3 linked regions of the Tribolium castaneum genome follow. The protein of the gene in region 1 interacts with the protein of each later gene in a biochemical or structural test. Links are inferred from orthologs where the notes say so. Each region holds a gene or a part of one and is shown in the gene's direction. Other genes may lie near its edges. The genes, in order: Jra, peptidyl-prolyl cis-trans isomerase NIMA-interacting 1 and ago.

What was found.
Region 2: the proteins of Jra (region 1) and peptidyl-prolyl cis-trans isomerase NIMA-interacting 1 form a complex in vitro, tested with the Homo sapiens proteins (2 studies listed by BioGRID). The link is inferred for Tribolium castaneum from reciprocal best matches to the Homo sapiens genes JUN and PIN1.
Region 3: the proteins of Jra (region 1) and ago form a complex in vitro, tested with the Homo sapiens proteins (3 studies listed by BioGRID, with this or other methods). The link is inferred for Tribolium castaneum from reciprocal best matches to the Homo sapiens genes JUN and FBXW7.

The regions. Positions count from the first base shown.
Region 1 is NC_087399.1:146,016-149,148, reverse strand, and holds Jra (Jun-related antigen), read left to right. Parts: upstream 1-1,189; 5' UTR 1,190-1,333; intron 1,334-1,381; coding exon of another isoform or gene 1,382-1,454; intron 1,455-1,495; coding exon of another isoform or gene 1,496-1,614; 5' UTR 1,615-1,622; coding exon 1,623-2,306; 3' UTR 2,307-2,522; downstream 2,523-3,133. Other genes in the region: phosphatidylinositol N-acetylglucosaminyltransferase subunit Y-like, read left to right, coding at 1,382-1,454, 1,496-1,614; ClC-b (H(+)/Cl(-) exchange transporter 7), read right to left, coding at 2,672-2,854, 2,903-2,986, 3,042-3,133. UniProt on the Homo sapiens protein: Transcription factor that recognizes and binds to the AP-1 consensus motif 5'-TGA[GC]TCA-3'.
Region 2 is NC_087394.1:12,589,670-12,592,528, reverse strand, and holds peptidyl-prolyl cis-trans isomerase NIMA-interacting 1, read left to right. Parts: upstream 1-1,379; 5' UTR 1,380-1,482; coding exon 1,483-1,537; intron 1,538-1,590; coding exon 1,591-1,794; intron 1,795-1,843; coding exon 1,844-2,064; 3' UTR 2,065-2,317; downstream 2,318-2,859. UniProt on the Homo sapiens protein: Peptidyl-prolyl cis/trans isomerase (PPIase) that binds to and isomerizes specific phosphorylated Ser/Thr-Pro (pSer/Thr-Pro) motifs.
Region 3 is NC_087394.1:36,179,953-36,184,364, reverse strand, and holds the start of ago (archipelago), read left to right. Parts: upstream 1-1,466; 5' UTR 1,467-1,727; intron 1,728-1,861; 5' UTR 1,862-1,871; coding exon 1,872-2,231; intron 2,232-2,277; coding exon 2,278-2,388; intron 2,389-4,216; coding exon 4,217-4,343; intron 4,344-4,412. Other genes in the region: uncharacterized protein LOC655874, read right to left, coding at 1-174, 373-497, 543-754, 802-956, 1,001-1,124. UniProt on the Homo sapiens protein: Substrate recognition component of a SCF (SKP1-CUL1-F-box protein) E3 ubiquitin-protein ligase complex which mediates the ubiquitination and subsequent proteasomal degradation of target proteins.

The DNA.
Region 1 (3,133 bases):
GAAGACTGAATGCAGCTTCAAATAGGGCCTGCGCGAAACCTTGATTCTAACGGAAAGATTCATAAAGTGCGATCTGCGTTTAAGAAAAATATAACGGATTGTTTTTTCAATTTTTATTGATTGATAGTAAATGAACTGAAGTGAAGAAGGGTTACCATTTCCGTAATTACAAAAAAAAAAGTTGGCGTATACGTGTTACTGATTTGCTATGATGTGGCTCGATTAACTCCTACATAGTTTTTTTTTTCCGAAAAAAAAAATGTTTCGTTCGTGTTGCAAAGTCTGCAAAGTTGTGTCTACCCTTTAATTTATTATCCTAATTAGTATTACGAAACCGTTTGATACAATTGGATAATTCACCATATCCGTCCAAATTTGTTGCAATTGATGAAATAACACGTTGAATAACACCATCCATTTTTCCGCTTTGCGAAGGCGAGACAGGAAGTGGCAAATATTCCCTGTGGAATTATTATTTGCAAATCAATTTTATTTGGGTTTTTTAACCTATGAACCGTTGATGTATACCAAGGACGGACCAAGGAGCTCCTTGATGCATACACTCGGGGACGTATTTTGATCGAAAAAGTAATTTAAATGAATTATCCTATTAAGGTCAAGGGAACTGTGTTTACCCTAGGCAAACTAGCTCATACGCTACAAATAAAGCAGGTTAGGAATTTTTTCGTCATTTTGAAGAAATAGACAACTATTGTTGATCTCTTTATTACAATTTCTGTTATTTTAGTGCCAATGCTTCTTATCATACATTTTCTAAATAAAGGTTTTTTCCTCGCATGATAATTAAAAATAGTTATCTATTTGGTTATTACCATAATTTGTTTTTATTTTGTAGTACTTATCGCATTTAAAGTCGGACAGAATATAAAATATTTACACTTTTTTCTTTGTTTCCAAAGTTTTTTTGTAAATTAAATCACAATTTTTGAATGAAAATCGGCTAAAACTTTAGTCGTTAATATCACTGTCTTTTCATTTCTTAAATCGTATTTTTTGGATGGGGTAAGATGGGGTTCAAAGATCATGTTGGCAACCCGTAAAACACTGCGGTCAGTTTCCTGTAGAATTGTCTAGGTGTCGCTTTAGCGAATCATTTCGACATGACGTCATTCTCATTTCTGAAAATCCATGAAAGGGATGACTCATTCATATCGAAAGTTATTACGTCGTATTTGTTAGTATTCTGTAGTATTTCGAGAACAATACTACACAAGAAGTTAAAAGTTATATTCAAGAAATTTTCAAGCCAGTGTTGTGCTACATTGTGAGTCATTACAAATAAAAGCGCTTTGCTTTTGAATGTGGTGTTAAAGTAAGTGTTATAATATTAAAGATTCATTATTTACTTTTTTACCAAGTAATGCTTGAGGGACACCTCACAGACCTTCACTTTGTTTTCTTCTTCGAGAATCTTCATTTCTCGATATTCTTTTGTTTGCTATTGACGTAACTTAACCTAAAATTTCCATTTCAGATTTTATGGAAATTAGTGATTCCGTTTATTATTCACTGTTGGCTTTGGTCGTCGTGCCTGTTTACCTATTTTTCAATCTTTGGTCGTGGTTAGGTTGGGAATTGTACAAAAATAATTGATAAAAAAAATGAGCGGACCCAACTTTGAAAGTCAGCAAAAAAACCTCAGTAACATGAAGAAAAATCTCACTCTTGATCTTAATCAGTCGAAAATGAACATGAACCTATCGTTATCCCCCGACATCACGTCCGTCCTCAAAGTAGATACCCCTGACCTCCTCAAAGTGGACACACCCACCATTGAGAACATCATCTTGGCGAATAATATTTCACACACGCCTTCCCCTTCACTTATCTTCCCGCGGGACGTCACTGTGGAGCAAGAGAAGTTTGCAGGCGGTTTCGTCGAAGCGCTTAATTATCTTCACAATGGCAATTCTCAGCAAGGTTCTGACAGTAATGCCAGTACGGTTTACAGCGAACAGCAGAATTTCATGCCTGTGATCAAAGAGGAGCCCCAAACGGTGCCCAACGTGAATAATACGCCCCCAATGTCTCCTGTCGATATGGAATATCAGGAAAGAATGAAATTGGAGCGAAAGAGACAAAGGAATAGACTCGCAGCCTCTAAATGTCGTTCCCGCAAATTGGAACGAATCTCGAAATTGGAGGATAAAGTCAAACTGTTGAAAAGTGAGAATGTTGAATTGGCTTCAGTGGTCAACCAGTTGAAGGAACACGTGGGGATGCTCAAATTGGAAGTGATGGAACATGTGAATGCTGGCTGTCCCATCATTGCGGGACAGTTTTAAGGATAGAGTACGATTTATATTTTTTTATAAAAATTATACACCAGAGTGATTTTTTTATATTTTGGTGCTGAGATATTCATAGTTGTAGCTTTAATACTGTGACCATATTTTGTATGGAGCCATTTGAATTGTATTATTTACGGTAGATTTAGCGCGATTTGTTTTATTTTATGTAGTTTATCACATTTTTATTAATAAAAATTGTCTCAGTAACAAGTAGTGAATTCATTAAAAAAAATTGGTTAGAATAAAAACAATGGAAAATGGGTAAAGTCTTTAATTAACAATAAATAAAATTCTTTTGTCAAAAGCGACAACATAATTATTCGTGAAACTATATCATCATATCATAATACTGTAAGCGGTCATATTTCTTTGGAAATTAATAATTCTTCTACCCCCATGCGACCCCGATGTCTCCAGACTCTATAACGAGCTAAATCTTTCCTTGTTACCATTCCTATAACCTCATTTGTGTCATTAACAATCGGCAAATGTCGTAAACCGAGAGCTCGGAATAATCTAAACATTCGAGGTAGTGATGCCGACTGAAAAAAAAAAATGATTAAATGCTAATTACTTGTTTTTTTAATTACATGAAGCACCGTATATGGTGACGGATTCATAAACGGCCTCAGATCAATAGAATAAGTTTTTTCAACTTCGGAAACACTCACTTGCTAAAGAATTAAACTTAATTACTTAAAAAGGAAAGGGCGAGAGAAATACCACTACCTCTATTGTTGGATATCGGGGATACTCATCTCGAAAGATTCCCGCATTAATATCCTCCCAAAAGTCCGAATTTTCGTTAAAAATCTTCTTTT
Region 2 (2,859 bases), on another chromosome or scaffold:
TTTCAAATAATTGTTGCGCAAAAAAGTTTTTATATTTATGTCAGAACGAGGAGTTTTAGCGATTTCTCTAATTTTAGTACAAAAATTTCGTAGTATATGATTTCGGCATTCAATTTTTTTAATAAAATAATTAGGCCCGTATGGTCTTGCATTACGAATTTTTTTGTAGACGCTACTATCACCATCTCCTATGAGGTTTTTAAATCTTACGTTATGCATGTCTACTGATTTTTTAAATCCATCCAAAATAATTGCTGCTTCCATTGAAGTTGAAGTGTTTTTCCAATTTTTAAAACATTTATGAGGGGGCGTCGTTTGGTTTTTTTTCTTATAATACATACATTTTTTACAATTTTTATTTTTAACTCCCACGTATAAAATTTTTTTAGTCCTTGCACCGACTATTGTTGCAACACCAGAAGATGCGTTATATTTTAAAGAAATACACAAAATTTATATAATGTAAGAGTAACGCAGCTATATCTTCGCAAGCTAGTTATAGAAAAATTGTATAAATTTAATAAAAAAACGAGAAATAATTCCTAAATTCTAAAATAATACATAATTATAAAAGTATCATTTATTTTACAAGGCGTAACGTAAACAAATTATATCCCTAAGACTGGATCTTACAATCTCTCGATACGTTATTTGTACTATAATTATTACTGGGTATAGTTAGAATAAATTTTTACAACAATGTATTTTTCAGAATTTATTACCTGGATAAAATTATCAGACGAAAAAGCGGGTTTAATGAAGTTTTCATCATTTTAATGAGATATTCCTAGTAACTTTTTTAAAGTTAAACTGTTTTCTGAAAGAACAATAATGTTTCACCAATTAATTTTTTTATTTTATATTTTTTCAATGCAAGTGATCCAATTAGAAATGCACATGACACATAATATAGCGAACAGAATTCGGTTAATTAAAACATAAAACCCAATAAATAAATGGTGTAATGGTGTATTATTTTTTACAAAACTATGCTAGTATTTTATTATTCTTTAGTATCAAATTTTTTTAACAAAATAAAAAACGTCTTTTTTACTGTATGTTGCTTGAATCTCTGAAATAAGAGAAACTATCGTGGGCGATAGTGGAATTCAGTTTGTTTACATTATTTGCATTTTATGAGAAGGGACAAGACACCCCGAGGCGAAGGTCGGATGCCTATCCGATGATTGACAGCTGTCACTGAAAACAGGTCTAAAAAAGTATGCAACTTGTAGTACACCAATTCTCAACAATCGCTTCGGTACCCTGAAGCCTTAAGAGAAGTTTGTGTTTTTCAGTTTTTCTCAATATTGAACGTCTTTAGTGTTGGCAACCAACCATACAATCGCTTATTTTGTTGGTGTGAAAGTGGTTTGTGTCCGGGTATTTCCGGAAACTGAAGGAGCTAACTCGTGTAGCTGTCTTCACAGAAATAAAGCCTCGAGTGAAGTTAGCCGATAAATAAACACGCATTCTAGGAAAATGGCGGACGAACAGTTGCCTACTGGGTGGGAAAAGCGGTTAAGTCGGTCAACCGGTAATTCGGTTAAGTTTTAATCATTCTCCCTTGACTCAAAACGTGTATTTTAGGCCAACACTACTACCTGAACGTTTACACCAAAGAGTCCCAATGGGACGTTCCCGACAAACCGGCAGAACCTGTGTCTTCGAGCGGCCCCGAACAAGTCCAGTGCTCACATTTACTCGTCAAACACAAAGACTCGCGAAGACCGTCCTCTTGGCGAGAGGAGAACATCACAAGGACTAAAGACGAAGCCTTGGAATTAGTCAAATGTGAGTGTTTTTGGCCAAGAAATGTCACCACTTTTGAACGTTTTTTCAGCGTATCGCGAACAAATCGTCCAGGGCAAGGCCTCGTTTGCTGACTTAGCCTCAAAGTACTCGGATTGCTCGTCTGCTAAACGAGGGGGCGACCTTGGCTCGTTCAAACGGGGGGCCATGCAGAAGCCCTTTGAGGAGGCGTCGTTTGCGCTCAAGGTTGGGGAGTTGTCAGAACCTGTCTTTACCGATTCGGGGGTGCATATTATTCTGCGTACTGTTTAGATTTGTACTCTTTCTAGACCATTTTTACATTTATTATAAGTTCATTCATGTTCTTTCAGGTCTTGTTAACGTAATTTATGATGCATCTATGCCAAACAAATTCATATTTATATATATTGCGATGAGATTGGAGCTGTAAATTTAGTGTAAATTTCTTTTATATTGTACTTTTTACTTATTAATGAGGTAACTTATTCCTGATACTTTTGTTATTTTGTTTATGCACAATAAAGAGCCCTAAGCACTCCTGTTAGCCCGGATTTTATTCCAGAATCAAAAGTAAAACATTTGCTAAGATGCAAGCATAATACAAGTGAGGATGAGAAGATTTAAATCAATAATAGGTAATAACTATCTTTTATTTTCAAAGTGCCTTTCGCGTAGTTACAATAGTTCGAAACTACTAATACACACAGATTTTTTTACACAAAAAGTATTGTTGCAACGTTTTGCTTGTACACCATTAAATTTTATTGAGATTACTTCAAACCAGGATGTAGTCTTTCAGACGAACCGATCGGTATCGTAAATATCTTTTGGTCACCGTTGTCGAAACATCTTATTTTGAGGATTGTTTATCATAAACAGCATTAACTGCTGTAAAACGTTATGGTGTAACTACAAAGAAAACGATGCTTCAATAATAATCAATACAGGGTCTTCCACGTAATTTTACAAGGCCTGCGCCTGTAAAATGCAATCAACAATACATATTCCAATACGAACTCGATTACAAATTTTGAAAGATTGGATCTCTAGCTTGTTCATCCCTTCAAAAAATTGCAACACTTTTAA
Region 3 (4,412 bases), on another chromosome or scaffold:
CAAAAGCCAGTCTGTAGATGTAGCAGTTGCAACTAGCAACTGAAATAAAGTCTTTCGGTTCGCGTTTATCCAGAAGGTAAATGTCGCCGCCTTCTGTGCCCACAACAACGTAATTCGTGTTGTGTTGGTTGCATGCAACGCTGGTTAGAGAGCAAAACTCGTTGTTGTACAAAACTGAAAAATAAATATTTTTCGATAAAAATTTAGCTCAAAAACATCAGTATTAAAAGCTACATCCATTACAAAAAAAAACAATTTCCTATTGTAGCTAACTTTGGACACTTGTATACTTGAAAATAATGTTTACATCTTCACTTTGCTCCCGTGAAATATACATGATTTTTTCGCCTCACTGGACGAAAAAATAATTACCTGAGGCAGGGCACGGATTACGGTCGTCCCAAATACAGCACTTCCGGTCCATTGAAGCTGTGACAAAGACGTTTGGTTCCGACTTAAGTGTATCAACATAGTTTACAAGTTCCGTGTGATAATCGCTGGAAATAAAACTTAGATAAGGGAAAATTGTTGATAAAACTTACGGAAAGTGATTTAGTGGTTTACGGATAGTGCTATTAATGTCCCAAATGGTCACCGCTTTATTCGAGCAGGTGAGTATCCGTGTGCTGTTCTTCCAAACTGCGATTTTCGGAATGCGATCTATTTCCCTATAATAACCTGCCGATTGTATGGTTTGGTTTTCACGTGATATTGTGAGAATATTTAAAAGACCCGTATCTTCAGCTAACGCAAACTATTTTCATATTATTTGTTGTGTGTACACATTTAGCTGAAACTTACAGTACTGTCGTTTAAAAATTTCCCGTCTGAAACCGTGGACCCAATCAAGCTTCTGTTGTGTTTCAGAAGCAACAAATTCTCCTCATTTGAGAAAAATAGCAAAGTGCCTTCCCAAAGAGTCCCGTTTAAGTTCGAACACCCCAGAACTGACTCGTCTAAAAGACAATTAATCGCCAAAATTGAAAAAAACCCACCTTACCTTTTTCATTAAATTCTAGGAAAAGTAAGTGTTTGTAAACGACCGGTGTTGTCGAAAGTTCGACTTTCCGTTGCAGCGATTTATTCGGTGGATAAACCACCGTATTTAATTCGTTTTCAATCATTTTAACACAAATTCAAAAAAGAGTTCGAGGTTAAGTTTTGGTGCAAAAAAGCCACTAAAATCACATGTGCGCCGTTAAATTCCCCCAGCTTGTCACCTTGCTACTCCTGTAACTAAAGTCACGAAATCGTAGCGTAAATTCTCGAAATACAATGCAATGGTGTTGGGGAAAAACACAAAACGGATTTTCCTGCAATTGGTGAGTGTTTTCCAAAAGTTTGGGGTCCTGGATGTTTTTTTGGGCGAATGGTTTGTGGAGTCAGGGTGTTTGTGAAACGGGGCGGCGCCTTAGCCACGCGATTTTGCTGATATTTCTTATTCTTCATTTACACAAGTTCGTCCAGATATTTGTAATGGTGCCAATAAATCCTAGTATTTTGAGAATGGCCGTCAGTGTAGTTTTTTGAAAAGGTATTTTACCCAGCGAGATGCACAAGAAAACTCGCTTTAGTGTCTCGGAGTGATAGGAAGTAGCAAACAGTGGTCCTTGATGCATAGTTTTTGGAAGCATTTCGTTAATTTTCCTTCTTCTCTTGCAATTATCTGGTAGTTAGAGTAGTTTCGTTTCATGCCTTCGAATAATGATAGAAAATTACATCAGTAGGTATGTCAGATGCAATTATTCTAACCATTTTTCCCCCATTGCACTCATCTTGTAATTAAGTAGGATAACGTGTTTCACTCGCGGAGATAATTTTATCGCAAAACTTTACTTAAGACGTTTTTTGTTTTTTCTAGACTGTAGATAATGGCAGAATCATGTCCTTCAGGCAGAAGTAATTTCAACCCCTTATCTAGTATTAATCGAGATTCAGAACTTCCAAAACAAGACTGCACCAGCCCTAGCCCTACTGAAACCGTTTGTCTAGAGTCGTTGTGTACCACTGATAATGCACCAGGTACATCCCAGAATCACTTAGCTCCATTGAGTGAAAAACTAGATGAGATATTTAGAATTAGTCAATCGGGCGAGGAGACTGAAAAAACTAGCTTTCTCAATAAGCTAGGTCTGGAAGAATGTGATGAAGAAGACAGTTTTGAGAAGGAAGAAAACTGGGAGGATTGTACTGAAGGAGACCTCTCTGAAGAAAATCAAGAGCTAGAAGAGGTAACTCCATACAGTGTGTTAACTTTTTACTAAATTATTTTTACAGGACGAAGATAGCAGTGAAGTTTTTTCAGGTTCACCTCCAGGTCCTCATCAAACAACACCAAGGAGTTCGTACGCGAAGAGAAGTGGGTCGTACGCCACTGACAGATACTGGGTAAGCAGAAATTATGTTTGTTGTTTCAAGCGAATGTGCAATAATATTATTTTAAAAATAAACCCATTGACTGTTTCCATCACTGGATAATGCATTTTCTGCAAATGGTTAGCACAAGGCAAACAAAAAATTACAGGCAGAGATAATTTATATTAATTTTGCTTTTTTCTTATTCACTGATAACTAAAATATATGTCACATTTGTCTAACACGTGTAGTTTTCTTAATATATTCACTAAAAGTTTTAAAAATTTGTTTCTGGTGGCATTCATTGTTTCTGTGATCAACTATTGTTAAACCTTGTAATTATTTTAAAATATCTTCAAGTGAATGTAGATTAAGTCCAAACAACTTTTGTTTTGTTTGTGGTAAAATTGTCTATAAAATCTGGGAGACTTAAACGATCAAATGGTAAATATTTTCATCAAATCTTATGAAGAGAGTTATTAAGGTTTTTGGGATAAAAATATGTTATTCGTTTTCTACTAGTCCACATTGAGATAAACACCCTGATAGTACAAGAGAAGAAGCAATCTGTAACATTTTAGATGTTGCGAAAATTGTCAAATACTGATACTTTATAATGAGTATTTAAACTTAATTTGTTTTCGACTTCAGCATCAGATTTAGTGGTAATTATTCTACTGACATTGGTAAAAATCGTGGTAAACTAGTGTAATTATCTGCAATTTTTTGTAAACAAATCAGTGACACATTTTATTACGCCACTGCTCAGGTGGTACTTAATCTTTGCAATACCTGTTGTATTAAATAATTTCTCAATACTAGTTTTTGTTTAATTTTTTTTAACAAAATGTGACTAATAATAAATAATATTACTCTCATAAGTAAAGTTGTGACCATTTTTGGTTGTTGTTTTGACAATTTAAAAAGAAAATAATTAAAAAATACGAGTTGGTCTTGACTATTTGGTCGAAAATGTAATTTAAAGGAATTTGGTTTTAATGAACGCTTACCTTATCTATGTATAATACGAGTTTAAAAACAATCGTCACAGTTTTAATTATGTATTTAATCTTTATATAACTTTTAGATAAAATAACAAAACGAATAATTAAGGGGCATTGGGGAAAAATCGATAAGTAATACGCGAATAAGTCACGTTTACGTAGTAGTGCATTAAAGTTATTGCTCGTTTTTTAAACATTCCCATGGTCAATGAAGGTCTTTAACCTGTTTGGGACTTTGCTGTTTTTAACTATTTAGTTTACTTGTTGTTTTTGTATTGGTAAACACGAGTTGGGCGATAACGTAAATTAAAGATAGACATAAAAGGTAATAATTTTGATCCTTTTTGAAATTATCGTTGTATAATACAAACTAACAATTTTCATAGTTATTTATTATGCCTGTAGATTTTTTTTTAAATTGTTGAAAAAATGTTTGTTACCTTTGACAACCTCTAATTCTGTGTTTAGTAAACAATGTTACTCAAATATCTATGATAATAAAGCAATTTCCACATAATCACATGCATTAGAATACAGTGTAGTAATAATTAACTGCATGTCATAAAAAACTTATCAGGTTAATTTTGCTTTTTAACGCTAGTTTTTCCGGTTTAAGATGTTACATTATTTTCACCTTAATGGTGTTTATGTATTAATCGCAAATGTAAAGAGCTTAACAAAAATAAAACAGTCGTACTTCTTTTTTTTTAATGATGAAACTTGTAAGTGTTGAGTCGATAACATAATACGTTGATCGACATATGATTTTAGCCTAATCTTCTCTCTGATATTTTTTGAAACGAATATTTTGTGCTGTTTTGTTAGCAGTTGTAATGTGTTTTGTTCGGTTTTTTTAGAGAAAACGGAAGTTGGACGTGCAGAATGGGTTTCCGTGCAAGAAGTTGCTACCAGAAAAGAAATCTGACGTTACTTCGATGTCATCTGAGCCCTCTGCTCGTGCGCCGACGGCGCCCGAAACCAACGGTGAGAAAATACAAGCGATAATTAACTTTTTTCGACTTCGAAATGAAATATCTCCAAACTTAATACAAA